7 linked regions of the Canis lupus familiaris genome follow. The protein of the gene in region 4 interacts with the protein of the main gene of each other region in a pairwise test. Links are inferred from orthologs where the notes say so. Each region holds a gene or a part of one and is shown on either strand. Other genes may lie near its edges.

Region 1 (3,500 bases), on a different chromosome or scaffold from region 4:
CAGTTCAGGGATCAGGGCTGTGACCAAGACACACACACACACACACACACACACACACACACACACACACACCAATGCTATGGGATCCCTTAGGAGGTGCTGACAGTTCTCTGAGAAGGTCAGAAGGAAGATCTTTGAGCTGGGTATTGAAGGATGAGTAGGAGTTTTCTAGCAGAAGCTAAGAGAACACATGGAATAGCATAAACATGGGCCTGGAGGCATGACAGGGCCCAGCAGGGCAGTGCCGATGACAAGAGCAGAGAGCATGTGGGGAGCTAAAGCAGATGACATTCAGAGAGGAGGAGGCCCCTCATCCTGGCCCGGGAGCTAGGGGGAGCTACACTCTCTCTTCCCTGAGGAGGGGCAGGGGTCTAGGGTCTGCCCCAGCCACAGCCCCTGCAGTCTGCCTGCCTTTCTCCAAGGTGCCGCTCCTTCTGCCAACCCTACAGACGGCTGCAGCCCAGCCCATTCCATCATGGATGGCTACTACGAGGATGCAGACAGCAGCTACCCCGCCACCAGGATGAATGGGGAGCTAAAGAACTCCTGTAAGTGCCAGGAGGGTGTTCAGAATGGTCCTGTCCTCAGAGGGCAGACCTTGGCCTAAACTGTTGGCATGCATGTGTACCTGGCCCTCTGGGTCACCACAGAGGCCTCCAGCCCTTGTACTCAGTGACTCCAGGGTTCAGTGGAAAGACCACTGGCATGGAACCGGGAGCCCTGGATCTAGCCTTTGCCCTGCCCCTTGGTGACTGACCTTGAATGAATCATTTATTCTCTGTGAGCCCCCAGTTGCCTTCTTTGTAAAATGGGGACTTGCTGGGTGCTGTGAGAATCACCTGAGACTAAGGACACAAAGATGGTGGGGTATGACAATAGCTGATGTAAGCAGGGTACCCACCGAGTGCCAGACCCTGGGCTGAATGCTCTGCAGTTACTGATCCTAAGAGCCCGGTGAGGTAGTTACTGTCATTGATTGTGACCATTTTACTGATGAGAAAACTGAAATTTTGAGAAGTGAAGTCACCAAGATGGCAGAGCCACTGGTAAATCCACACAACACAGCACCCGTGTCAGGGTGTAGAGATCATCATGATCACAACTGAAGTCCTGGTCCCTGAACCCCAGAGTGGAAGGGTCAGAAGGTGCCTCCCAGGCAAGGACATGGTAACGGGTCATTTCCCATGGCTCCTACAGACAATGACTCTGACCCAATGAGCAGCTCCTACGAGTCCTACGATGAGGAGGAGGAGGAAGGGAAAGGGCCACAGCCCACGCACCAGTGGCCCTCGGAGGAGGCCTCCATGCACCTGGTGAGGGACTGCAGGATATGTGCCTTCCTGCTGCGGAAAAAGCGCTTCGGGCAGTGGGCCAAGCAGCTGACGGTCATCAAGGAGGACCAGCTCCTGGTGAGTGGCCGAGGAAGTGTGCCTCTAGGCCTCACATGGACTTACACGTGTGTGTGTCTCTGTGTGCGTGTGCAGGCGTATCTACCCCAGGTCCTCTGGGCTTGCTTTGTGCCCAGAGGCTCAGTGCTTCTGAGATAAGGGCTCTCCCACTAGAGCAGAATGTAAACACACACACATGCACACACACTCAAAGACCTGACATAGACTTTAACAAGTTTTTGTTTCGCCAGGAATGAATTTTTTATCACTTCAAAACAATGTTTATTGATTTCATTATGCAACTAAATGTGTTTATGTATAAAACTGGAGAAAAACATAATGAAAATGTTTTTATAAGGTTTTATTTATTTGAGGGCAGCCCGGGTGGCTCAGCGGTTTAGCGCCACCTTCAGCCCAGGGCCTGATCCTGGAGACCTGGGATCAAGGCACACGTCGGGCTCCCTGCATGGAGCCTGCTTCTCCCTCTGTCTATCTCTCATGAATAAATAAATAAAATCTTAAAAAAAAAAAAGAATTTATTTATTTGAGAGAGAACAAGAGAAAGAGAGAAAGCACGCACACAGAGGGAGAGGGAGGAGAAACACACTCCCCACTGAGCAGAGAGTCAGAGACGGGGCTCAGTCCCAGGACCTTGAGATCATGACCTGAGCAGAAGGCAGATGCTTAACCGACTGAGTCACCCAGGAGCCCCAAAAGTGATTTTTTAAAGCCACCTATAATCCCATTGACCAAGAGCTAACCACTGTTATGTTTTAATATACATATTTCCACATATCCGCCTTTTCTAAAATTGAGCCCATTCAGCACTTACTGTGGAACTTGCTTTCTTAGTTTTTTTTAATTTGCCATCTCTCATCACCATCATTTTATAAAAGAAAATGTACCTTTAATTCCAGAGTAGGAATACAGACATAATTTCAGAAAAAAATAATAGCTCTTTTACCCCAAAATCTGTTGACAAGCCTTACCCAACATCTATCCATTTGAAACATGACTTTTTCTCACCCCGGAGCAGTGAAAAGCTCACCCCAGGCCAGAACCAATCCAAAGGTCATGACTTACTTCTTCTCATCCCGTTTGTCATTTTTTTCTTGACATACCGCATTGGTTAGGATCTCCAGCACAATGTAAATAGAAGTGGTGAGAGCAGGCACCCTTGTGTCAGTCCAGATCTCAAAGGGAAAGTTGCAATAATTCACTATTAAGGCTGATATTTGCTGTGAGTGGTTTGTTGAAGCTCCTTATTGCCACATTAAGGAAGTTCCCCCTCTGTATCTCTAGGTTGCTGAGAATTTATGTTACAGATGCATGGAGAATTTTACCAAATGCCTTTTCTGTTTCTATTGAGATATGTGGCTTTTCTCCTTTTTTTCTATTCATATGATGAATTATAGGGTTGGCTTTTAGAAGGCTAATACACTTTTGCAATCCTAGAATAAACCCTGTTTGGTCTTGATACGGTATGCTTTTCCATGTGTCTGGGATTTCTATTTGCAAGTAGTTTTTTAAGGGCTTTTGCAACCATGTTGAGATTAGCCTATCGTTTTCCTTTTTTTGTAGTGTCATTGTCAGGTTCTGATATCAAGGTAATGCTAGCTTCATAGTGAGAATCGGGAAGTGAGAATCATTATTGATAAACTGTTGACTTCCTAAGCCCAACCGTCCATCTCTGCTAGAATCCTCTCTCCCACATTCCTGCTAGTAGCACATGAGTAGCAGGGAGCTGGCTTCCTTCCAAGCCAGCTTGTTTCTTCTCTGGTTCTTTAGACTAGAATGGTCTTCCTAGTATTGTGCTAAAATCTGCCTCTTCCTAATAGATGGCGGTGCCCCTGGGGCCCCTCGGTGGCGCTTGAGACCTGAAGATTGTCCAAAGACGCCCCCTTCCAGGCTTCTCTTCTCTGAGATGAATAGCCACAGCCCCTGTCTTCACGCAGTACCCACAGTTGGGCTGGGGGAGCGGGGGGCAGGTCGAGGTCGCTCCCCCAAGCCTTCATGCGAGGGCATCTCCCTCCTCCGCCCTCCAGTCCAGAAGGGTGACCCCTTCTCTTCCTGTCCAGTGTTACAAAAGCTCCAAGGACCGGCAACCGCATC
Region 2 (3,987 bases), on a different chromosome or scaffold from region 4:
AGATTAGTTCTGATTCTTATACTTTATGCCATGATGAACTAGACACATGTTAAACAATAAACCTGTAATGCAATCGTGAAAAGCTTTACAAAAGGAAAGCAGCAGTAACTCGAGAAAAATCCAAGCATCTACAGAAAGTAAAAATCATACTCATTTTAAGTTCATGAAAATGATTTAGTACCATCAAAATTATCAAAAAATCAAGAAACTGTGCTTCCAATTAAAGAGCTGAAATTAATCAAATGATTCATAAAATTATACTTGCAAGTCATGAAGATTATTACTTACAAAACAGAACAGAATCAAACACGCAAGCGATAACCAAAATAAGAGTCAAATGGCATCAAAAAAACATCTGGTAATGTCCAGAACATGTGATGTCAAATCTCAGTGATTTGAAGAAATAAATGCATTTGAAGATGATGTACACAATTCATAAACCAATGAGTTAACGAACTCCCAATGACTTACACAGGTAAGTAACCAAAACCTAATTCATTTTGTAAAGTTTTTAAAAATGCCAAATACATATAGCCGAAGGCTTAGAAATTGGGTCAAAGAGTTAAAGTCACAATAAATAAAAAGGTTAGGTTCTTATACTATCTTATTTCTAACATTGCAGAACAATGCATTCTTAAAACAAATTGTGTTAAGTTACACGTCATCAAATACCCAGGCCAAAACAAAGGTAGAAGAAATGAACAACCATGAGAAAGTATTTTTACTTTTGCATTATCTATACAGAACACTACATCTGCTTCTCCTCCTAGCTTCCACCAAAAGTAAACCAAAACGTTATACGTACACACAAGCTGGCTCTGTTTACGATTTGAATCCCAATGGTTCTTGGCAGCTCTTCAATGCTGTTTTGGCTCACCGCATTTAGTGACCGTTTCTTCTTAAGATGCCGTGCATGCTTTTTTAGTCCTTCTTACAATTCCATTTTGCATATACTTGTAATTAAAATAAACCTTACTGAGCTAAAATTTGTAGAGAAATAAACTCGTATTCTCATAATAATAGCTAACACATAAGTACTGCTTTTTTTTTTTTTCTATACTAAGTATTCTACATATACTCATTCTTTTAACTCTAAAAATATCTCTAGGCGCTCTAATTTACTGGAAAGGAGACTGGAGAAAGGCACTTGGTCTCACGAACTGTTAACTGTCAAAGCTAGGATTAAATTTAGGCAGCTTGATGTTCTTCAAACATAAATCCTCTTCCATGAATTCTACGCTCAATTTCCATCTTTCTTCACATTTTCCTTCCGCAGACACCAATTAAGTTTTTTCTCACCACTTACTATATCCACTAACCATGGAGTCTACAACTTAAAATAGTCGATCTTCCCTAACAGTTCTGTTCCCCTTTTATTTCATGTTGACTAACAGAACTTTAAAAAAAATTGACTTAGTGATAAACTGTTTTGGAAATGTGCAACCACGTACGCCTTTTTAAAAGAAATCCTGGAATCTCCCTATGTCAAATAGGGAGATATCCAACGAGAGAGGGCGTTCTCATTACAGCTGCTTCAAAGACTCTGTTCCCAACCACCGATCTCACGTGGCAATCATTCTACTTTTCTTCCTTTCCATATAAAACTACTATTTAAAATTTACAAACAAAATCCAGGGCCGCCTGAGTGGCTCGGTGGTGGAGCGCCTGCCTTCGGCTCAGGGTGAGAGCCCGGTCCCGGGATCGAGGTCCGCATGGGGCTCCCCGCAGGGAGCCTGCTTCTCCCTCTGCCTGGGTCTCTAACTCTCTGTGTCTCTCATGAATAAGCAAAATCCTTTTTAAAAAAGAAAAGATCCATTCCCTCAGACGAGATCAATTTTTCAGGTTGTGGTTTCATATCCTAAGCATCCCCTGCACACATTCTTCCTTTCCTTCTCACTCCTCTGAAGGAACAGCCGTCCGCACGGGAGGGCCTGCGCCACCTGGGCCGCACCATCTGGGCCGCACCACCTGGGCGGCACCTGCTGGTCCGCGCGCGCGCTGCGTGTTTTCCGGCGAGTGCGCGAGAACCTTCCAGAAGGCGTCCGTCCACGCGGGCGCGCCGGCCATGTTGGTCTTCCTCTCCCGTGGAGAGCTGCTCCGTCGCAGGAGTCGTGCGGGGCCGGGGCGGGCCGAGGCTGCACGTTTCCAGGAGGGGCGCGCTCGAGCGCTCGGAGGGCTCCAGGGCCGTGAGCGCCCCGCCGGCCGGCGCTCGCCCCCAAGGCGCGCCCACTGCGGGGCCAGGGCGCCCGGAGGAGAAGGCCGCCTGGGCACCCTGCTAAGAGGCGGGCCGGGGCAGGCGTGTTGAGGGGGAGTCGCAACCAGTACTTACCACTGCGAGGCGTTGCCCGAGCTTTCCTCTGCGGGTTTCAGGAAGACCCTCTGGAGGTGATTGGACATTTTAGAGGGGCGGGAGGGGCCGGCACCTCCAGGGAAGTGGGCAACGAGGGGCCGAGGGCCTCCCGAGGGGCGAGACCCGGAGCGACCCGGTGTTGGGCTGGACGGCGCCCAACGGGTTCGCTGCGAAAGGAGGACCCCAGCCTTCGGAAGGAGGCGACGCGGCTGCCAGAAACCGGAAGGACCGCAGCGGCTGACGACGCGGCCCGGCCCCGGCCTCTGGGAGGAGCGGCCCGAGTCTCCGCCCCCCGCGAGCCGACGGCGTCGCGCCAGAGCCAATCGGAGTCGACGCGGGAGGCGGGGCCTTAATGGCACCGCCCCCAGCAGCGCTGGGTCCGTGGGGAAGACCGCGCCGGACGGGCTCGGCCGACCCCGCCCACCGCAGCCGCCAGCCGGGCCCAGCTCAGTCAGCGGCTTCCGGCATCGTCACATCCGGTCGCCGAGGTGACTGGCTCGCTAAAGCACCGCCCCGATGCTACGATCCAATCGCAGAGGACGTTTGGTGTCTCTTCTTCCGGATCAACGAACGAATCACGAGAGGATATGCTCAAGATGCCTACGCAAAATAAAACGCTTCCGGGGTCATTGGTAAATTTTCTGCCAATGCGCTCGCCGCTCCTGCACGTTTCTCTTTCCCGCCAGCGCCGGAGGAGACGTCGGCGGCGGCTCTGGACTAGTGCCTGACGCTGTGCGCGCCTCTTAGACGCCTGCCCGTGGGCAGCGCTCTGTTTATTGCCGCTTCCTGCGCTTTCTCGTTCATTTCCTCTTTCTTGAAGTTTTGCCTCTCTTCTTAACCTGACCTTTCCCTCCACCGCGCGTTCATCTCATGCCTCGGTCAAAGTCATCGTCAGAGTTAATCGGCTGGTTCTCTGAAAGTTCGCCCTCCATAGACATCTTTTTTCCTCTTCACTTGGCTCTCCGGAGAAATTCTTTTCAGAAGTCTCCCGGCTCCCGGTGTTGAATCCTGCATCCGAGAGACCGGCCAAGCCCCTGGTGGAAGGGCGGGCGGTGCCGTTCAGCCGGGGCTGCAGGGAGGCGGCGGCAGGAGCGGCCGACGAGGGCGTCTTATGAGGGACAGGCGGTGGAAGTGTGAACTGGCGCATACTGACTGTCCGGCCTCGGGGGCCGAGTCCCCTGGCCCCTCATCCCCTAGCTCCGTGGTAAGCGCAGTGAAACGACAGTGTTCCGACAGGTTAAGAGAAAGCACGACTTCCTGAGCGCGGTGCTCTGTGGTAGTTTCGGTGGCACAGAATCCTGCGTGTGTAGCTGGCGTCTGTCTTTCAGTCGAGTATGTCCCGCACTAAAAGGGGGCGAGGTGCTCAGCCCTTCATAGGGGCTGGGTTTCCGTCATTCTCTGATCTGAATAAGTTGCCCATTCTTGGCTTCTTCCCTGCTTCATCATTTATTTCTTACCTTCCACACTCAATTCTCCTCCTACCCATCATCTCTTCCTATGTACGAAAACTCATTGTCACAGGTTGGTTTCCCTGGGAAACGGACTTTGTCCGGTGTATTTTGGCGTGAGGGAAGTTTATCAGGGATCAGTATAGGGGAGGGGAGGGAAAGGAAGTGAAGCTGGGAAGACGGAGTAGT
Region 3 (3,500 bases), on a different chromosome or scaffold from region 4:
GTCTTCCCTAAATTATAGTGATTTGGAATAATTGACATAAACAAAATACTATGATAATTTAGAGGAGGGGGAGAGTATTTCCATTTGGGGGAATGTGAAACATTACAAGAAAATATCACTTGGTTGATAATGAGACTTTTTACCAGTAAAGAGCTGTACAATAGGAAGAATAGATTTCAAAGGTTTTTAAGTACTAGGTGCTATATAGTAACTAATATTTGTCATTTTTATAACTTTACATCTTTAAAAATTGTTTTATCTTTCAGCAACTGCTTTTCTGTTCTCTTATCTATAGACCTTTTTCACAAACACTTTGTAGTTTAAGGAGGGATTGTGTAGCCAATGAAATATTTGAAAAATCACTATGAGTCTGTACTTTTATTCACTCTTCCCCCCAAAGTTAGCCACTTACCCTTAATGATGTAATTCTCTATCAACTTCCCACGAAGACTTTAAATAAGTAATGGGCAGGGATTTATTTGACCTTTAGTTCAACCACATAAATTATTTATTACTTTAAAAATGCTGTTGAGTGTTTCGAACTATTGAGAAGAAAATTTCTTTTAAATACGCCTGCAACGATATATAAGGATGTGAAATATTCGAATTCACACTGAAATGTGAATTTGAGTTATTCAAAATATACAAGGATATAAATATGTTATATCGAAACACTCGTGCGCCTTACATATTTCGGTAAAATTGAATTAAGTATTGTGAACGTCATAAGGTGAAAGTCAGTTTTCCCTGACTCTCTGTCTTTTGTATAAACAAATAGGTAGTAAAATCAAACAGAAGGAGTCTGAACCAAACAGAATAAAATTAAAGGTAGCAGTAACTTGACTCAGTAACCCAAAGTAGGAACTGTGGAGCCTCAGTGATTCTTTACTTGCTCCTAACCCTAATGTTCAGTCTGTCACCAGGAACTGCCAATTTTATTTAAATAATCCTTCATTCCTGTTATCACACTATATGTCGGACATGCCCTCATCATTGCCCACAGGACTGTATGTAACAGCCTCTAAACCCATCATCATACTTCCTCCTTTCTTTTCCATCTGTCCACTGCCACTAGAATTCTTATTCTAAAATGTCAGTCTAATTGTATGATTCCCCTACGTGAAACCATTCATTGACTCTTAGTCACTCATGGAATGAAATCCAGATCCCTAATGTACTCTGTACAGATTTGTAGATATGTACTCTGGCTTTGGGTTCTAAGGGAGAAGTGTACTCCACTCGCACTGTGGCTTCATTGGTCATTTAAACTCTCCCTCTTCTGTGCTGCCACATCTTTGGACGCACTGTTCCCTTTCCTTAGAATTCCCTCTTCTCTTCTGCATCTTTTTGCTTCATTGACTCTTTTTCCTTTGATACAGGCATGCCTGACTCTTTTGCTCTATCATTTATGCACAATTTTGTTAGCATAAACAAAATTTTGTTCTGTTGGACTCTTCTGTATTCTAATAATTTATGTTGTGTGCCTGTAACATTCTTGCAAGTACCAGTTGTTGTTAAACCTTCGTGGTATCGCTTTAAATTTTCAAGAAAGCATCTGAAATAATAAGACAACATTTACTGAGTTCCTAATAGGCATGATACTTGATAAGAACTGAACACACACTACCTCGAATCCTCACAACAGCCCCTATGTAGTAGGTGCTGTTATTATTATTCCCATTTTTTCGAATAGGAGACTTAGAAGGTAACATTTCCAGGCTCCTCATTATTAAGATATGGCTAAGTAGGACTCAAAAGTCCCCTTCCTCACACGGTACCAATAAGACCCATTGTGTTAGACTTTCTAAAGATTTGCTTGCATTCTAAGACAGGATAAGTCTTTAGTCAAAGAAATGGATTATCTAATTGTGGGAATTTAGAAATCACTAAAGCAATGGAGGGAAGGAAATGGTGGTTGTTTTTTTTTTTTAATGGGAGACATCTTCACACCCCTTAAAGACAGGTTGCCAAGTACGCTACTTGAAAGCACCCTTGAATGTCTTCACTGAACTCGTGATTTCAACAGTATGGATAATAAGGGGTAAAGATGCATGTACTTTAGACCACTTCATTGACATATAAATAATATATAATAAATTGCACATGTTTAAAGTTTGCAATTTTATAACTTTTGACATATGAATGCAACCTTAAAATAAATCATCATCACAATCAAGATAATTAACATATCCACCATCCCCTGAGTTTCCCCATCCATTCCACACCCCTGTTCTTAGGCAATCAGTGATCTGCTTTTTTTGATTATAGATTAGTTTACGTATTCTAGAGTTTTATATAAATGGAATCCTTACGAGATGTGCTCTTTTTGGTCTAGCTTCTTTCAATCAGCATAACTTTTTTTAAATTGGAGTATAGGGACACCTGGGTGGCTCAGCGGTTGGGCATCTGCCTTCAGCTCAGGGTGTGATCCTGGAATGCCTGGATCAAGTCCTATATCAGGCTCCCTACATGGAGCCCACTTCTCCCTCTTTTTATTTTTTTATTTTTTTTTCCGCTTCTCCCTCTGCCTGTGTCTCTGCCTCTCTGTCTCTGTCTCTCATGAATAAATAAATAAAAATTTTTTTAAAAAAGATTAAAAATAAATTGGAGTATAGTTGACACAATGTTACATTAATTTCAGGTGTATAACATATAGGATTCATCCATGTTGTATAGATCAGTTCATTCTAAAGTTGCATATTTGGAATTACATTTGCCATTAGAAAGTAAATAATTTCTTTTCCTCTGTTGTGTCTTCTGCTTTAGTAAAGATTTAGATGGAACTGATTGAAAATTCTGTTGAGCTTAAAATGAAGACTTCTGAAACTTGTTTTGATGTACTATTTATCAATCCTTTAAGATTCCAGTGGAGATACAAAAAAAATATCCTTCTGCAAGGATTTAAATGCATTTTCATTTTCAATTAGCAGTCTTTTAGTCCACTATTAAAAGTTTAATGTAAAATCAAGTAGATCAACTCACTTTTGGAGTAGGATATTGTACTTCTTAAGACTATCTTCTTGACCCTTCTGGGGGAATCTTGAGGGAAATCCTTTTACTTGGTCTGATGTAAGAAGTGGGTATCTCAGAACTTCACACTGGCATTAGCTATGGATATTAAATGATAAAGTGCTAACCAATAAATATGATTTGAGTGATTTGTGTTAACACTGTACAGGAGCTCAATATGAATGGGAGAAGAAGTGCCTTTACCACTCAATCTTGGGTAATTACATTTCAACCTTATTACTTAATATTGGGAGGGAAAATTTTTTAGTCTGCTATTTTGCAAAAAAAGAAACAAAAAACAAAAATGGTTACATCCATTATTACTGCTATCCTAATCTCTTCCTCACCCTTTCTTAAATTTTCAGGTGGGTATAACCCATGTATAGAGATAATTGAACAGCCCAGGCAGAGGGGCATGCGTTTTAGATACAAGTGTGAAGGGCGATCAGCAGGGAGCATTCCAGGGGAGCACAGCACAGACAACAACCGAA
Region 4 (3,450 bases):
CACTGCCGTCAGCGCCCGCCTTTCAGAGGAAAAGGTTCCTGAGAGCCAGCCACCACCATCCCCTGGGACCACAAAGGGCAGCGCTGCAGAAGGCAGGACCCATTGTGAAGGGGGGCGCCGCCTGCATCCTGCAAGCTGTTCTGATAAGCAGCTGTCGGGAGGGAGGGGGCTGCGGGCCGGGGAGGGGGAGGGGGAGGGGGAGGGGAGGCAGAGGCGGCTGTTATCGGGCTGGAGGGCCAGCCTTGAGCTCCTGCGCTGATGTCTTATCGCAAGCGTGCTCCTGTCTTGCAAGTTCAAAAGTCTCTCCCTAAAAAGAGAACTGGGGGCAGGGCTCAAGTTCTCGCCAGCGTCCCCTCCCCCACTCCGCGCGCACTCAGCCCCGCGGGAGGACGGAGTAGGTGCCCGCCGGGTCACCCCGCCGGGCCTTCCGGGACCGCCTGGGGCCCTGCACACCGCCTCCCCTCGGACAGGGACCCTCTACCCTCAAGAAAGAGAAGAAGTCTGTTTCACTTAGTTTATTGTTTAAAAAACAAAACTCCAAAGCTGCAGCAGCAGAATCCTTTAGAAACCGGAGCATCGCCCCGTCCGCTTGGTGCAGCGGTGCAGGCCGCTCAGTGGGTCAGAGCTCCTGTAACTGTCCGAGTCCAGAGTCCGGAGTCCAGGCCTCGCCTGCCTGGCCTCTCCCCTCCTTCCTGCGCAGAGCGCAGGCTGCTGAGTCACGCCCGCCCGGCCGGTCCGGCCTTCCCGGCCCGGGGCCCACGGCCCGCCTCCGGCCTTCCCGGGCAGGCCGCCGCCGCCCACACTCGCGGAGTCCACACTCGCGGAGTCCCGGGCTGGGGGCCAGCCCGCCCCCGCGCCCCCGCGCCCCCGCCGCCGGGCCCCTCCTGCAGGGGCCGCCCTCCTCGCCGCTCTCCGCGCAGCACTGCGGGCCCGCGCGCTCCGAGGGCGCATCCACAGAGCCAGCCGCGCGCTAGGCGCCCCGGTGTCACCACGTCGTCGATCAGACCAAGGCCCCCTCCGCGCTGTCACTCGGGGAGGGTGATACTGGGCACCCAGTCGTTGACGCTGCGGCTCTCCTCGCAGAACACGCTGAGCTTCTCCAAGGCGGGGTCCTTCCACGCGTCCTCATTGGGGTTCTGCGGGGAGGGCGCAGAGGTCAGCCTGGCCGGCCGCTGGCGCGGCGCGGCGCGGCGGGGCGGGCGGCGCTGGGGCGAGGCCACACTCACCGAGATGAGGATGCAGTGCAGGTCCCCCGGGGCGGCCGCCTCGTCGCCCGCGCCCACGATCGCCGCCAGCCTCTGCACGTCGCCCACGCGCACGATGTCTATGTCGTTCTCGCAGCAGAACGCCTGGATCAGGGTGAAGTGGATCTGAAGCGCGATGTCGCCCTCGTCCTCCGCGTCGGCGGCCAGCACGCAGAAGGTCACGTTGTCGGGGTCCCTGCGCGGGAGGGGGGGGGCGGTGAGGGCAGGGCGGCGAGCCCGGGGCGCCCCCGCCGCCGCCGCCGCCCCCGGTCACCCCACCGGGGCCGCGTCCACACTCACACATTCAGGACTTTGGCGGACTCATAGACGCCGGCGGTGAGGCAGCCCTGGCGCTGCGCGGACAGCAGCAGCTCGTGGAGTGCTTTCCCGGCGCCCTGCATCCTGCGGACGAGCCAGCGCCGTGAGCGCGCGGGGAGCGGCCAGGGATCCCCAGCCCCTGCGGTGACCCGGCCCCGGGGACGCACCCCCGTCGGTGCCCCAGCCCCCGCCCAGCGAGCTCCCCATCCCGGCGGGCCCCCGCGGCGGCCGCCCGACCCGCTGCAGCCCGCACGGGCACAGGCGCCCCGCGCGCCGAGACGTCCTGCGCCCCGCGCCGACCCACCTGGCGGTGCTCTCGGGGACCGTGTCTTGGCCTCGGATCTCCTCCAGAGTCATGGTGCGGTCGGGAACAGCTAGTATCCACGCAAGGAGCGAGCGGCGCGGACGCGGGAGAGGCGGGAGGCCGAGGAGCGGGGAGCGCACGGCTGGCGAGTGCGCCCCGGCGCGCCGCGCCCCCTTATATAGGCCGAGCCCGGGCGCCGCCAGCTGGCCCGAGGCTGCGCGCCCATTGGCCGGCGCCCGCTTTCTGATGCAAATGAGGCGGCCGCCGCGGCTCGTGCCAGAAGGCCACGTGGGGAGGGGTGCGGGGGATGACAATGCCTCAAATCTGCCGCTTTTGTCGGCGTGTTACCAGGCAGACGGGAGCCTGCAGATTTCACTCGCCTTTTTGTTGTTTCAAGTCCTTAAAAGGAAAAAGTTAAAAAAAAAAAACCTTAGCTTGCTAATATAATAAGACGCAGCACTTTATGAAATGCACCTTTGGGGAAACTGAAGATTTCTTTTTTTTTTTTTTTTTTGCATGTATTTTTGTGACTACGTTTCTATTTTTTTCTTTACTTGTAATTGGAAGTTTGTAAGACCGTTGTTTTTCAACCGGAATTTCAAGTAAAAATAGCCAGCGCGGGCTTTCCGCTTGCAAGCCAAAGGCCCAGGGGCACAGCCCCCTCCAGCCGCCGCACGACCGGAGCGCGCCCGGAGGCCTCGCCGCACGCCCCGCGCCGGGACCCCGCCGCGCCGGAGGGTCCGGGCCCACCTCCCCGCCCGCAGCCGAGCGCCGCGGGGCGCTGGGACGCGCGAGCAGATTGCGGCCGGCGCACGCGGCTCGTTTGCATTTCTATGGAGAAAGCACAATAGCGGAGGTCTGGCGTGTGGCGGTTTGCAAGAGGGACAATCGAGGCTTTCTCTTCATAGCGACACTACCCACCTGCCGCAGGGTGGGGTGGCTAGGGCCCCGCCGCGCGTGGGGGTCGCGGGGCTGCCCGGCGCGTGGGGGGCGGGCCACGTGTCGCTCCCGCGCCCCCTTGGTGCTCCTCCCCGGCACGGGGGCCGCTGCACCCCAGGCCCCTGTGCATGTAATTCCGCCCCCACCCTCCCCCCCACTGCCCCCGGGGTCCTCGCAGCGGCTGCCGCACAGTCTACGCAGCTTGAAGAACGCAGCTCTCAATCCCTTTCCCGGGGCGCCATCTGCAGGCTGTCCAGAAACACGGGGCACCCCGCCCCCACTTGCATTGCCTCCTAGGGTGCCAGCCTGGGCCCCTGCGGCCCTGCCTCCTAGGGTGCCAGCCTGGGCCCCTGCGGTCACCCAACGGCCCTGGCGGGTCTGCGGCGCCCCATCCCACCTGCGCGCTCAGGGAAGCCGCAGCAAGGGCTGCAGAACCTGCCCGCGGAGGGGAGGGCAAAAGGACACTCCGACCCAGGCCTGATGGAGGCAGAGCCCGTATTTCTTGCTGTTTTGAAACGTTTGAAATTACCCAAACATACATGTATGAAAGCTTGTTTTCCAATTATATCGTAATAAACCTAGAGGAGGTGAACAGTGCTGCGGTGTCACCGCTCTGGGGCAGGTAAGCCAGCACTCGGAGACCTC
Region 5 (4,239 bases), on a different chromosome or scaffold from region 4:
ATATTCAGAGAAAGTGTAATAAAACATACTTGTGTTTTCCCCACTCGGCCTACGCCACCCAATTTGCCAAAGCCCTACCCTGAGTTTATACCTAGAAGATGCTGGATTGCTACTTCGTTACCCATCTTGGCGATGGGAACCTCATCCTTGAACAAACACTTATAGCGGCTTTACAAGAGCTGTGGATCCCGGAGGCGCGGGTGGGAGGTTATAAAAGGTTGGAAGGCCTACACCTGGGTGGCTCAGTGGTTGAGCGCCTGCCTTTGGCTCAGGTCACCTCTCTCTCTCTCTCACGAATAAATAAAATCATATATATATGTATATATATATATATAAATATATAATCTAATAAGATATGGCAGTACCTGCCCCAAATAAAAAGCTCACAACTTAGTTGTGCGCACCTGTTAGCCTGTTATTACCAACCTCTCTCTCTTTTTTGGAGCGTGAGGTTGGGAGAAGGGTATGAAAGCTAATATTCTCTTTTTTAAAAAAAAGATTTTATTTATTCACGAAAGACACAGGGAGAGAGGCAGAGACAGGCAGAGGGAGAAGCAGCTCCCTGCGGGAAGCTGGATGCGGGACTCCATCCCAGGACTCTGGGATCCCAACCTGAGCCGAAGACAGACGCTGAACCGCTGCCCCACCCAGGTGCCCCTGAAAGCTAACATTTAATCGAGCAGGTACTATGCGAAAGGACACTCTTCTATGAACTTTAGTATTAACTCATTTGGCCCTCGACTAAGCGTATGACGCAGGTAGTATTCCATCCCTGTTTCACAGGTAAAGAAACTGAGGACAGTGGCTAACTGCCCTCGAGGTCACCCAGCCCCGCGGGGCCAGGGGACGCCGAGCGCAGCGAGCGCGCGGAGGCCGCGGTGCAGAAGGCGATGACAGGCGAGGGCCCGGGGCGGAGCACAGAGGGCGGGCTTTACCTTCGTCCGAACGCCAAGGCCGCCTGCTCACTGATTCGTGTCTCCCCATCACTTTGCCTGCTGGCCCCACAGCCAGGAATGGAAAGTTTAAACTCCCAGCTCCGTAAGATTCGGCCTGGATCCTGAGAAGACCCTCCCGTAGGCGATGGACGGCTCGCTCCCTCCTCACAGCCAGGTCGGGAGAGCAGCAAGGGGCTGACTCCGGCGGGCGAACTACAACCCCCATCACTCCCCGCGCGGAAGGCTGGGTCCACGCGAAGGGAACGCGGGGGTGTTCCCAAAGTGCCTTGAGGAAAAACAAAAAAAAAAATCACGAACACCTCCCGCCGTTTTTCCATCTTCACACAGGCCTCGCTTCCATCATCCGTTTTGATGGAAGCGCAGTGAGGCCTGTAGAGTTCGCTTTGTCTTCAGGCACAGCAGAGGGCAGCCGGGACGACGGCGCGCGGGCGCGAGAGCCCCGGGGCGCGCGGGGCGGAGCCTGCGGCGGCGGGGCCGGGGCGCAGGCCGGAAGTGTGCGAGGACGGAGGGAGAGGCGTGAGTGGCTGCGGGCGTGCGCTTCCGGCCAGTGCGTCGACGTCGGCCGGCCGCGGAGGGCTCCTCGGCAGGCTCTTCGGCCAGCACCTTACGCACCCCGCTGGCTCGCAGGCCTTGGGTCTCCGCTCATCTCGCCGTAGGCCGTGACGACATGAGCAGCAAAGAAGGTGGCGTCCTCGGCGGCCCTGGGCGTTCTTTATTCAAAGGGGGAGGATCTCCCTCCTTTTTGTCGGATTTTCCACTTCGCTTCCCGCTTGAGGGATTGCCCTCTCCCCATGCAGGCTCGGGGGCGGGGTGGGGGGGAGGGGCGGCCCCGGAGATTTCCTGGCCACCTCGGGCCTATGCACACCTGGCCATTTCTTAAATCCTCGAGCTGTGTCTTTGATTTTAGTTTGGTCATTGCTCCACCTTGTGCCAGATCAGGAAAGCCACTGGTGGAGGCCCCGGGTGAGGTGAGCTTAGGATTGGGGGGTGGGGGCGGGGGTGGGGGTGGGGGGAATAAAAAGGCAGGGCTGCTGCTGCGTGAGTCGGCCGAGCAAGCGAGCAAGCGAGCAAGCGTCTCGGGCCAGGGCCCCTGGGCGCGGGTGTGAGAGCGAGGCAGGGGCCAGCTCTGGTGCAAAAGCCCTACCCAACTGTTTTCTCCTTCTCTACGTAAGGATCAGGAGGGTTCAGGAAAAGGAAGCACGACAATTTCCCACATAACCAGAGAAGAGAAGGGAAGGATGTTAATTCATCTTCACCTGTGATGTTGGCCTTCAAATGTAAGTTTTCTGTCATGGAGGTTGGCGAAGGGAAGAGAGCGAGAGAGGTGGTAGCAAGGAGCGTTTAGGCATGTTGTGCTGCACACACCGTTAGGACGTGAGCTGTGCCGGTGTGACCCTTGTACCTTCTTCCCCCAGAGGTTAGCTGTGGTGCTGGGTCTGCCATTAAAGTCGAGGGTACTCAGGTGTTGGCTTTTTTTTTTTTTTTCCTGTAAGGGTTCTACAGGTAAATATTAGCATCAGAAATGCCACATCACTAAAAATTACTGCGTCCCCGACATACAAATATGTATCAGCGATATAGATCTGTCAGCTGTATGTATACATATAGATTTAATTAGTTCACTTTGTGTTTTTTTTTTTAATTATTTATTTATTTATGATAGTCACAGAGAGAGAGAGAGGCAGAGACACAGGCAGAGGGAGAAGCAGGCTCCATGCACCGGGAGCCCGACGTGGGATTCGATCCCGGGTCTCCAGGATCCCGCCCTGGGCCAAAGGCAGGCGCCAAACCGCTGCGCCACCCAGGGATCCCTAATTAGTTCACTTTGAAGCGTATATTTTGGTTTTGGCTCCTAAGCTAGAATCTTGAAGACCAGGATTAAGTTTTTTGTTGTGACTGTCACACCTCGCACAGAGCGGGACCTTTTCTATTAATAAGTCATATACATGCCACAGATATACGGCACATACATAATGTCTGTGTGTGTATGTGTTATTCACAGGCCTCCTTTTATTTTTTTATTTTATTTTATTTTTTAAAGATTTTATTTGTTTATTCATGAGAGAGAGGCAGAGACATAGAGGGGGAAGCAGGCTCTCTGTGGGGAGTCTGATGTGGAACTCCATCCCAGGACCCCGGGATCATGACCCGAGCTGAAGCATATGGGATGCTCAATCACTGGGCCACCCAGGTGTCCCTCACAATCCTCTTATTAACTTGGTTGAGTTGCTCCTCATTTCAAAAGAAAGCATAAAACAAAAATCTCCTTCCTGTCATCCTGTATCCACCCTCCTACACCTTACAGTTAGAGCCTGAGAGTGCCTGAGCTGTTGATTCTCACTCTCGGTCATCTGAAGACCTGAGTGGGCCTGGAGGATCCACCTCAGTTGACCAGTCGGGCCTTCTGCCAACAACCAGCTCTCCGTCCTCACAGGAAGCTACTTGAGTGGCCTAATGTTATGGCAGCTGGCTTCCTCGATCAAAGCAAGGAGGAAACCAGTCTTCTTAGGTCCTGATCTCAGACACAATACGCTGTTGCTTTTGCTACATTCTGTTTGTTAGAGATGAGGCAGTTTAAATAACTCTGCTTCATTTTTATTTTTTTATTTAAAAAATTTTTTTTTTAAGATTTTATTTATTTATGAGAGACAGAGAGAGAGAGAGGCAGAGACACAGGCAGAGGGAGATGCAGGCTCCATGAAGGAAGCCCGACATGGGACTCGATCCCGGGTCTCCAGGATCATAACCTGGACTGAAGGCGGCGCTAAACTGCTTAGCCATCCAGGCTGCCCTCTGCTTCATTTTTAAAGGGAACAAATTAGGTTCCACCTTTTGAAGGGAGTCCTAAATAATTTGTGGGTATATTTTAAAATCATGGCACCTACATTGATCTTTAGATGTATAAAACAACTTGTAATTGCTTAGTGTATTGATACAATGAATGGTATACACAGTGCAAAAACTGCAGTGGGCCAGGGTTTCCCCATCATTGTACTCTGACACACCATATACAGAGCTGCTTGTTTCCAAGCATATGTTGCTTTTGTATGTTTCTGTCTGCGTTTTCACACATAGTTCTTTAAGCTCAAAATTTCTTCTAATTTGCTAGTTCCATTGTCCATCTGGTGAACCATGGTTTCCTTCATAACCTAGTTCACATGTCTTCTTGGAAGTCTTTCTGACTTTTTTTGTCAAGCAAATTTATTGACAGACATTGCATTTATTCATTATCCATTCATCCATTTGGTCATTAAATATTTATTGAGCATCTACTGTGTTCTAG
Region 6 (4,184 bases), on a different chromosome or scaffold from region 4:
AACCACAGCACTGACATTTTAGACCACACAACTGATGTGAGGTCTGCATGACATGGTGTTTAGCAGCATTGTGATAATCAAAATATCTCCAAACAATGCCAAATTTCTTCAGGGGGAGGAAAAAGTGCAAAAATGTTCAAAACCACTGCTTTGGACAGATCCCTAGTCCTGAGGACCAGAAGGTTCTTCAGTGAGGAAAAAAAGGAATGAATATTTTAAAAATCCCTACAAGGTTTCAGCTCCTGTGCCAGGTGCTTTCACATGTCATCTCAATACTTCAAACAACTCTCATTTGAAAGGCGATGCATTAGAGACTCAGAGAAAGGAAACGACCTGACAAAGTCACAAAGCTAAGCTGTCTAGCTGGCCTTCAAACCCAGGTATACCCAACTCCAGAGCCAAGCTTTTTCTACATACAATCCCCTGCTGTCCCTCTACCCACATACCTCAGCTGCATGTCTAGGACAGTTGCTGTGTGCCCAGCACTGTGAAGCTTCTGCAATGTTGTTGTGATGCTCCCATGGAAGCTGTAAGGCCATGGTTCCCCTCCTTTTCACAGAAAAGGATGCTGAGGTTCAGTTAGGGTATGAGGTCATAGCACGATAGAGTGAAGTCTGCGTGGATACACGGCCCATGTTCTAGTTCATCTGTCTGAATTCCTAGCATGACTCGATTCCCTATACGGCAGTAAGAAAGGCCTTCTCCTCCCTACCTTCCCCCACTCCAACCAATCAATCTCTATCTTCACTCCTCTGGTCTCTATTCTAAGATTCCTAAAAGCCTGTTCTACAGTTTAAGTCAGTGATCTAATATTAAGTCCAATAACTGGTACATGGTAGGGACTCAGTAAATACCAGTTCCTTCTTCCTCCCTCCCTGGGCTCCACAATTGCCAGGATCTCAGTTCTCACCTGCTAACCTCCTTTTCCCCAATCCCAAGAGATATACTGTCCATGGTAACAAGGTTTCTGACACTGTCACTAGTGGAGAAACTGCCACCAACTGGATGTGCTAAACCTAGGCCTCCAAGCAGCCTCAAGGAACCAATCACTAGTCCGAGGGCGTACCAAGAGATGACCTTCAACAAGTCCCTGCAGCACCAGGACCAAGACAGCAGATAACCAGACCTTGTTCTCCCCATCTGTGGATGGTACTGGGCCAGAAGCCTGACGTTGGAGCCTTTTTGGTACTGCCTGCCCATGAGCCAGGTCCTGCACCAGAATGCGGAATCAATCTTCCCTCATGAGGGTCATCCTCATGACCCCATTTCACCAATGGGGTAAATAAGATGATCCTGATAGCACAGAAAATACGAGTTTGAATCCTCACCTTCGAAAATACATTCCTGTTCAAACAAAGAAAGTCTGAAGGTTTTTGTTTCAAAGGCACATTGGCGGAACACTGCAGGACTCCTCCCTAAGGTAGTCCATGGGCCTGACTTCCCAAGCTGAGTCAACTGATTAAACACCCAGAACCTGATTTATACACACAGGAGCCTCCAACCCTGCCCTGGCAAGTGTGGGGGAGGGGTAGGCACTTCCCGTAACACCATTTGAATAAAGAAAAATCCTTCCTGTGAGAGTAAGTCAGTTTCCTGTGCTCAAACGGCTAAGGGACTAAGCAGGCTGTGACAACCACCTCTATTTTTAATCTTGTTTTCTAAATGCTTGCTTTCTGCGGCCACAAGAATAGTCACTTCCAGTCATGAGGCTCTACTTTTACATTTCACTTGATGCTGTCCGGTTTTTCTTAGCTCTAAACTACTAGCTTTTCCCCACTGCTTCCTGCACAAGAAGGCTATTTCGGGGAAGGAGCCAAAAGTCACTTGTTGAACGTGGCTAAGACATCAGGGTCCACAGCCCAAGGTGTTCACAGGAAACAAAACAGGTGAAAAAGAGTGGCATGAAGTTGGAGGGTCAGGCTGATTCTGGGGTGGGAGACGCACAGTCTCCCTAAGGCTGCAGCCCTCGTTCTCCCTTGGGTCCTTCCTACCCCTCGGCCACCCCCCACCTAACTTCGTGGGGTGACTGTGCCCGGGAGCCGTCTAAGGCAGCTCAATTACTCAGCGGGGCTCCCCTCGGCCCCTCCCGCCCATCTGGCGCGAGAACGGCCCCATTTCCTGCAAGGGAGGGATGGAGGGAGGGGGAGCCCGCGGAACGGTCAGTCTGAGGGGACGAGGGGCAGAAGGGGAGTAAAGAGGCCAGGCCTCGCGGAGGAGGGAGGGGCCTGCGGGGCTGCAGGTGCGTCGGGAGTAGCCGGCGGGTCCAGCCGGGTCCAGGGGCCGCGCTCCTGAAGGAGGCTCCGAAGGCCGAGCCCGGACGAGGGGACTGGAGCGGCCGCGTCAGAGGGAAGGGAGGACACATGCACTGAGGGAACCTGAGAGGAGCCGGGTCGGGAGGCACTTGGGAAACGGACCTCAGGGGCCGGGAAGTAGCGGGGTAGGAGGCCGGCCTGAGGGACACCCGGGCCGCTGCGCTGGGTAAGGATATTGCCGCAGAAGGCCATCCACCTCGCCAGGGTCCGGGCCTGGCTCGGCCGCCGCCGCCGCCGCCTCCTCCTGTTCGTCCACGAATTTGTTCTCGTCAAACTCGTCGATGTCCACCCGACGGAAGCGCGAGGACAGCGTGTTCCGGGCCATGGCGGGGACTCGGCGCCCGCTCAGCCGGCTCCGCTCCGGGTCCGACCTCCGATCTACTCCGCTCGGAACCGGCTCAGGATCGGGGGCGGGAAGCGGCCGCCCGGCGCCTCCTCCAGCTCCTCCGCGCGCAGACGCCGCCGCCCGCCCACTTCCGCGCTAGGCCGGAACCGGAAGTGCCGGCGGGCAGGAGGGGCGGAGCCTGCCGGCGGCGGGGCCGGAAGCGCGGGAGAGTCCCCCGGTTAGTTACTACCGGTAGCGCCGCGTCCGGCTCTCAGCTTCGGGAACCTCATTCTTGCCATCCGAGCAGCGGGCACTACGTCCCCACTCGGGCCTAGCGTCGTGGACGCCATAACTGTGCTCGGCTTCCTTTCCGAACCCGAGGAGACCCTGGCCCTGCAAGGGGCCTGCGCGGACTCGGCCGCAGAAGCGGGGTGGAGCCATCACTGCCCAGACTGAGGCGGCTCGGGCACCCCCGCAAGTGTAATGGTCACCTGACCTGGCAGGTGGGGGCGAGGAGAGAAAGAGGACCCTGAGGTCACCATCCTGACTTAAAGGGCGAGGTCCTGGAGGCTAAGAAGTCATTTCCGGCTGGAGAGGCATATCCTGGTGGGAAGCTGAGTCACCTAAGTGTGAGATGGGAAGAGACGGGACCGGGTGCCGAAGGGTAGGGGCAAGAACGACTCTGTGGTTCCAGGATTGGGTGCCTGGGCAGTGGCCTGCGGGATTCTGTTAATAGGCCTTAACCGTGGGATGCTTGGGTGGCTCAGCGGTCGAGCGTCTGCCTTCCGCCCAAGGCCTGATCCCGGAGTACCAGGAACCAGCCCCACACCACATCGGCCCCTGCGTGGAGCCTGCTTCTCCCTCTGCCTATGTCTCTGCCACTCTCTGTGTGTCTCTCATGAATAAATAAATTAAAATCTTTATTAAAAAATCGGCCTTAACCTTAGATTAAATTGGATCTTTGTTTTCATATAATTTTCCTTTTAAAAGATTTTAAGTAATCTCTACCCCCATCATGGGGCTGGAATTTACAACCCTGAGATCAAAAGTCACATGATGTACAAACAGCCAGGTCCCCTGAATTGTACTTTTTTTTTTTTTTTTTTTTTAATGATAGTCACACAGAGAGAGAGAAAGAGGCAGAGACACAGGCAGAGGGAGAAGCAGGCTCCATGCAGGGAGCCCGACGTGGGACTCAATCCCGGGTCTCCAGGATCACACCCTGGGCTGAAGGCAGGCGCCAAACCGCTGCGCCACCCAGGGATCCCGAATTGTACTCTTTTTAATAAAGGCCAAGGCTTAATGAAGTATGACTCGTTTTTATTGTTTCAAATACTTCTCATTGAATTGTGTCTACAGATCAAAAAATTATTGCCAGATTATGATGCTACCTAATTTTGGGTGCTAAAGATACAGACTTAGGCAGCCCTGGTGGTCCAGCGGTTTAGCGCCGCCTTCAGCCCAGGGCGTGATCCTGGAGTCCCGGGATCCAGTCCCACGTTGGGCTCTCTTCATGGAGCCTGCTTCTCCCTCTGCCTATGTCTCTG
Region 7 (4,039 bases), on a different chromosome or scaffold from region 4:
CCATTTAACAGAAAATGAACTAATTTATTTAAATGGGCTAGGCCACCTTTAAGAAGCAGTGATTCGCAGCAAGTGTTGGGGATAGGAAATTGGGTGGATAAGCTTGCTGAAGCCGTAGATCTTAGTTTCTACTTGAGATCATGCGGAAAGACTGAATTTGAAAAATTCTTTTTAGGTTGCTCATGCTAGCAATCAAATGAGTGTACACTGTAGAAAAAATGTACCACGAGAGTAGACACACATAGGGTCTTTCTATAACGTAATGAAACTAGAGTTAAAAGGCAGACTGTGGGATTGAAATCTATTCTGAACTGAAGAACTAGACGTCTGGAGTACCATATGGGGTGAACGTGTGACTCGGGCTTCGGTAAAAGCAGCGGGCTCGGACTGGAACAAGCCAAAAGGCTAGCCCAAGAGCACATTCGTCCGGGTCACGGCCACCGAGTTGAAACCCTTGCGGATTCTCCGGCTGTGAAGGCGGCCCCTCGGGTCCCTCGCTGCCCTGGGAGCCCGGGCCTTGTACTCTCCAGCCCCGAGAGGAAGAGAAGGCAGGGGCGAGGGAGGAGCCAGCCCAGGGCGGACCTGCGACGAGCGGAGGAAGCGGCTCAAAGGGGCAGTCCTGGACCTTGGAGAGGACCAGGTTAAGAACTGGAGGTATACTGCGGAGGGAAGGCGTACTCCAATCGCCACACCATCTTTGCAGTTAAACCAGGAACCGTAGAGGGCAGATTCAGTACTTCCCCGCAGGGCCGCCTCCTCGCCCCCCCGCCCGCCCCTTCAGCTGGAGCTGAGAGTAATTCATACAAAGGAGGACTCGCTTCAGCCTCGGGGAATCCCAGGGACCGTCGTTAAACTCTCACTAACATAGAACGAGCGGAAAGCTCGTCCCCGCCTCCCCACCCACTCACTCTCGCCGTCATCGGGGTCAAGAGGAGCATGCGCGAGGAGATGTGCGCTCTTTAGTGGGCTGAGCGCACATCGCCCACGGTCCCCGAGCAGTAGGGGGAGGGGATGGCGACCGAACCGGTGCCTGATGGAGTTGGCGCGGGGTAAACTGGGAAAGTGGTGTCGTGTGCTGGCTCCGCCCTCTTCCCCGAGGGTGGGGGAGGACCGTATATAAGTGCCGTAGCCGCCTTGAACGTTCTTTTTCGCAACGGGTTTGCCGCCAGAACACAGGTGAGTGCCGGGTGTGGCTCCCGCGGGCCTGGCCTCTTTGAGCTGCCAGCGGCCCTCGCGTGCCTTTTACAACGGCCGCGCCACCGAGCCACTTTACGATGTTCTTGACCCCGAATTTCGGATTGTGAGTGGGTGGGAAGGTTCCAGGCCTTGCGCCTTTTTTTAGGACCCCTTTTGCCTCGTGGTTGGTTTGAGGCCTGGCTTGGGTGTTGTGGCGGCCGCGTGCGAATTCCGCCGCACCTTCTTGCCTGCCCTCGTACAGTGGTTTAAGCCTCCAGACGTTTGACCTACCAAAAGAAGGCCGCTATGGTTTTCTCCGTCGAGATGGTTGAGCGGAGGTTGGTCAGGACTTGAACGGGGTGGGCTTTTCCGCGGTCGTCGCGTTCTTGGGGTGTGGGGCCGCCGCGAGGCGCGGAGGGCGGCGACGAGGCCCGCTCGTCCCGGCGCACATGTCCGACGAGGCGGGGAAGGCCCACGAGCCGTGGGCGCCGCGTCGGACGCGGGAGAGTCCCGTGGAGTGGGCCGGGCGGCTCTGGTGCCGGGCCTCGCGCCGCGATGTACCGTCCTACGCCGGGCGGAGAGGCCGGCCCGCTCGGCACCAGTTGCGTGCGCGGAAAGATGGCCGCTCTCCGGCCCTGCTGCAGGCAGCTCAAAATGGAGGACGCGGCGGCCCGGGAGAGCGGGCGGGTGAGTCACCCACACAAAGGAAAAGGGCCTTTCCCTGTTAGGCCGCTGCTTCCTGTGACCCTACGGTGTACCGAACGCCGTCTTGGCACCTCCATTCCGCCTCAACGCCTTACAAGCAGGCCTTCCCCGGAGGGGGGAGGGGATTTTATGCGGTGGAGTTAACCCCACGCTTGGTGGGTGGAGACGAGAGTTGGGCCAGCTTGGCCCTGGTTGTAATTCTTGGAATTTGGTCTCTGCGAGTTTGGTCGTGGCTTATTTTCAAGCCTCCGGGACAGTAGTTAAAAGGGTTTGTTCCTACCCTAAAATTTAGGTGTCGTGAAAACCACCGCTAAACCTAAACCAAAATGGGAAAGGAGAAGACTCACATCAACATCGTCGTCATTGGACACGTAGATTCGGGCAAGTCTACCACTACTGGCCATCTGATCTACAAATGTGGTGGGATCGACAAAAGAACTATCGAAAAATTTGAGAAGGAGGCTGCTGAGGTTGGTATACTAACTTAATGAGAGATCGTTAAAAAAAAGTCGGCCAGTGTCAACTTCCCCAAAACTAGTTACTAGTCTATCAGAATCTGCTGCTTGTGGTAGATTGTTTGTGCTTGCTGAAGAGTTTTTTATCTATGTAACTTTGGGAGATAGAACTACCTAACTGTAAAGTGGAATCCGCATTTCTGCTTAAGCAGGAGTTAGGGATTTCAAGTTGGAAGTTTGTGTTTAAGTTACCAAGTAACCATTCTTAATCCTTACAGATGGGAAAAGGCTCCTTCAAGTATGCCTGGGTCTTGGATAAACTGAAAGCTGAACGTGAACGTGGTATCACCATTGATATCTCCCTGTGGAAATTCGAGACCAGCAAGTATTACGTGACCATCATTGATGCCCCAGGACACAGAGACTTTATCAAAAACATGATTACAGGCACATCTCAGGTTTGTAGGATTACTTGAAAATAACTGTAGGCTTGGGTTTTGTATGGGAAAAAAGGGGGAGTTCATCTTTTTGAGGAACATTTATTTAACAGGATGTCTTTTTGTCTTTTAAAGGCTGACTGTGCTGTCCTGATTGTTGCTGCTGGTGTTGGTGAATTTGAAGCAGGTATCTCCAAGAATGGGCAGACCCGTGAGCATGCCCTTCTGGCTTACACACTGGGTGTAAAACAACTAATTGTTGGTGTTAACAAAATGGATTCCACTGAACCACCCTACAGCCAGAAGAGATACGAGGAAATCGTTAAAGAAGTCAGCACCTACATTAAGAAAATTGGCTACAACCCCGACACAGTAGCATTTGTGCCAATTTCTGGTTGGAATGGTGACAACATGCTGGAGCCAAGTGCTAACGTAAGTGACTTCAAGGCTTTGAGGAAGTGATAGAAGAGGCATATGTTGACACTAAATGACAACAGTTTGGGGAATGCTAATGGACAATCTTGTTTTTTTAGATGCCTTGGTTCAAGGGATGGAAAGTCACCCGTAAAGATGGGAATGCCAGCGGAACCACACTGCTTGAAGCCCTGGATTGCATTCTGCCACCAACTCGTCCAACTGATAAGCCCTTGCGTCTGCCTCTCCAAGACGTCTACAAAATTGGTGGTAAGTTGAACATTGCCATTTAAAAATACGATTTATGGATTGTTCTTCACAGAAGGTATCTGACACGATGCTTCTAAATATTTTAGGTATTGGTACTGTCCCAGTGGGTCGAGTGGAGACTGGTGTTCTTAAGCCTGGTATGGTGGTCACCTTTGCTCCAGTCAATGTTACAACTGAAGTAAAGTCTGTTGAAATGCACCATGAAGCTTTGAGTGAGGCTCTTCCTGGGGACAATGTGGGCTTCAATGTCAAGAACGTATCTGTCAAAGATGTTCGTCGTGGCAATGTGGCTGGTGACAGCAAAAATGACCCACCAATGGAAGCAGCTGGCTTCACAGCTCAGGTAACACACTTAAGAGTGGCAATGTTCTCTTTGCTAGATCCTGTTTGAAATGTATTAAATGCAATTTTTTCCTCCAAGGTGATTATCCTGAACCATCCAGGCCAAATCAGTGCTGGATATGCACCTGTGCTGGATTGTCACACAGCTCACATTGCCTGCAAGTTTGCTGAGCTGAAGGAAAAGATAGATCGTCGTTCTGGAAAGAAGCTGGAAGATGGTCCCAAGTTCTTGAAATCTGG

The links.
Region 1: the proteins of GADD45G (region 4) and AFAP1L1 interact in binary tests that used the Homo sapiens proteins (3 or more experiments, as listed by UniProt). The two-hybrid records come from large-scale screens. The link is inferred for Canis lupus familiaris from reciprocal best matches to the Homo sapiens genes GADD45G and AFAP1L1.
Region 2: the proteins of GADD45G (region 4) and LRIF1 interact in binary tests that used the Homo sapiens proteins (3 or more experiments, as listed by UniProt). The link is inferred for Canis lupus familiaris from reciprocal best matches to the Homo sapiens genes GADD45G and LRIF1.
Region 3: the proteins of GADD45G (region 4) and REL interact in binary tests that used the Homo sapiens proteins (3 or more experiments, as listed by UniProt). The two-hybrid records come from large-scale screens. The link is inferred for Canis lupus familiaris from reciprocal best matches to the Homo sapiens genes GADD45G and REL.
Region 5: the proteins of GADD45G (region 4) and TSNAX interact in binary tests that used the Homo sapiens proteins (3 or more experiments, as listed by UniProt). The two-hybrid records come from large-scale screens. The link is inferred for Canis lupus familiaris from reciprocal best matches to the Homo sapiens genes GADD45G and TSNAX.
Region 6: the proteins of GADD45G (region 4) and ARPC5L interact in binary tests that used the Homo sapiens proteins (3 or more experiments, as listed by UniProt). The link is inferred for Canis lupus familiaris from reciprocal best matches to the Homo sapiens genes GADD45G and ARPC5L.
Region 7: the proteins of GADD45G (region 4) and EEF1A1 interact in a two-hybrid assay, tested with the Homo sapiens proteins (2 studies listed by BioGRID and IntAct). The link is inferred for Canis lupus familiaris from reciprocal best matches to the Homo sapiens genes GADD45G and EEF1A1.

The regions. Positions count from the first base shown.
Region 1 is NC_049225.1:60,553,896-60,557,395, reverse strand, and holds part of AFAP1L1 (actin filament-associated protein 1-like 1), read left to right. Parts: intron 1-422; coding exon 423-548; intron 549-1,197; coding exon 1,198-1,409; intron 1,410-3,466; coding exon 3,467-3,500. UniProt on the Homo sapiens protein: May be involved in podosome and invadosome formation.
Region 2 is NC_049227.1:41,480,201-41,484,187, reverse strand, and holds the start of LRIF1 (ligand-dependent nuclear receptor-interacting factor 1), read right to left. Parts: upstream 2,801-3,987; 5' UTR 2,398-2,800; coding exon 2,330-2,397; intron 1-2,329. UniProt on the Homo sapiens protein: Together with SMCHD1, involved in chromosome X inactivation in females by promoting the compaction of heterochromatin.
Region 3 is NC_049231.1:62,284,008-62,287,507, forward strand, and holds part of REL (proto-oncogene c-Rel), read left to right. Parts: intron 1-3,374; coding exon 3,375-3,500. UniProt on the Homo sapiens protein: Proto-oncogene that may play a role in differentiation and lymphopoiesis.
Region 4 is NC_049222.1:97,451,825-97,455,274, forward strand, and holds GADD45G (growth arrest and DNA damage-inducible protein GADD45 gamma), read right to left. Parts: upstream 2,027-3,450; 5' UTR 1,920-2,026; coding exon 1,867-1,919; intron 1,647-1,866; coding exon 1,545-1,646; intron 1,441-1,544; coding exon 1,227-1,440; intron 1,137-1,226; coding exon 1,026-1,136; 3' UTR 501-1,025; downstream 1-500. UniProt on the Homo sapiens protein: Involved in the regulation of growth and apoptosis. Mediates activation of stress-responsive MTK1/MEKK4 MAPKKK.
Region 5 is NC_049225.1:8,342,384-8,346,622, reverse strand, and holds the start of TSNAX (translin-associated protein X), read left to right. Parts: upstream 1-1,439; 5' UTR 1,440-1,623; coding exon 1,624-1,639; intron 1,640-2,128; coding exon 2,129-2,233; intron 2,234-4,239.
Region 6 is NC_049230.1:58,232,479-58,236,662, forward strand, and holds the start of ARPC5L (actin-related protein 2/3 complex subunit 5-like protein), read right to left. Parts: upstream 2,801-4,184; 5' UTR 2,638-2,800; coding exon 2,489-2,637; intron 1-2,488. UniProt on the Homo sapiens protein: May function as component of the Arp2/3 complex which is involved in regulation of actin polymerization and together with an activating nucleation-promoting factor (NPF) mediates the formation of branched actin networks.
Region 7 is NC_049233.1:35,820,480-35,824,518, reverse strand, and holds the start of EEF1A1 (elongation factor 1-alpha 1), read left to right. Parts: upstream 1-1,239; intron 1,240-1,354; coding exon of another isoform or gene 1,355-1,463; intron 1,464-1,526; coding exon of another isoform or gene 1,527-1,627; intron 1,628-2,173; 5' UTR 2,174-2,207; coding exon 2,208-2,351; intron 2,352-2,614; coding exon 2,615-2,794; intron 2,795-2,908; coding exon 2,909-3,205; intron 3,206-3,306; coding exon 3,307-3,457; intron 3,458-3,543; coding exon 3,544-3,800; intron 3,801-3,878; coding exon 3,879-4,039. Other genes in the region: uncharacterized protein LOC119874198, read right to left, coding at 337-582, 909-1,239, 1,355-1,463, 1,527-1,627. UniProt on the Homo sapiens protein: Translation elongation factor that catalyzes the GTP-dependent binding of aminoacyl-tRNA (aa-tRNA) to the A-site of ribosomes during the elongation phase of protein synthesis.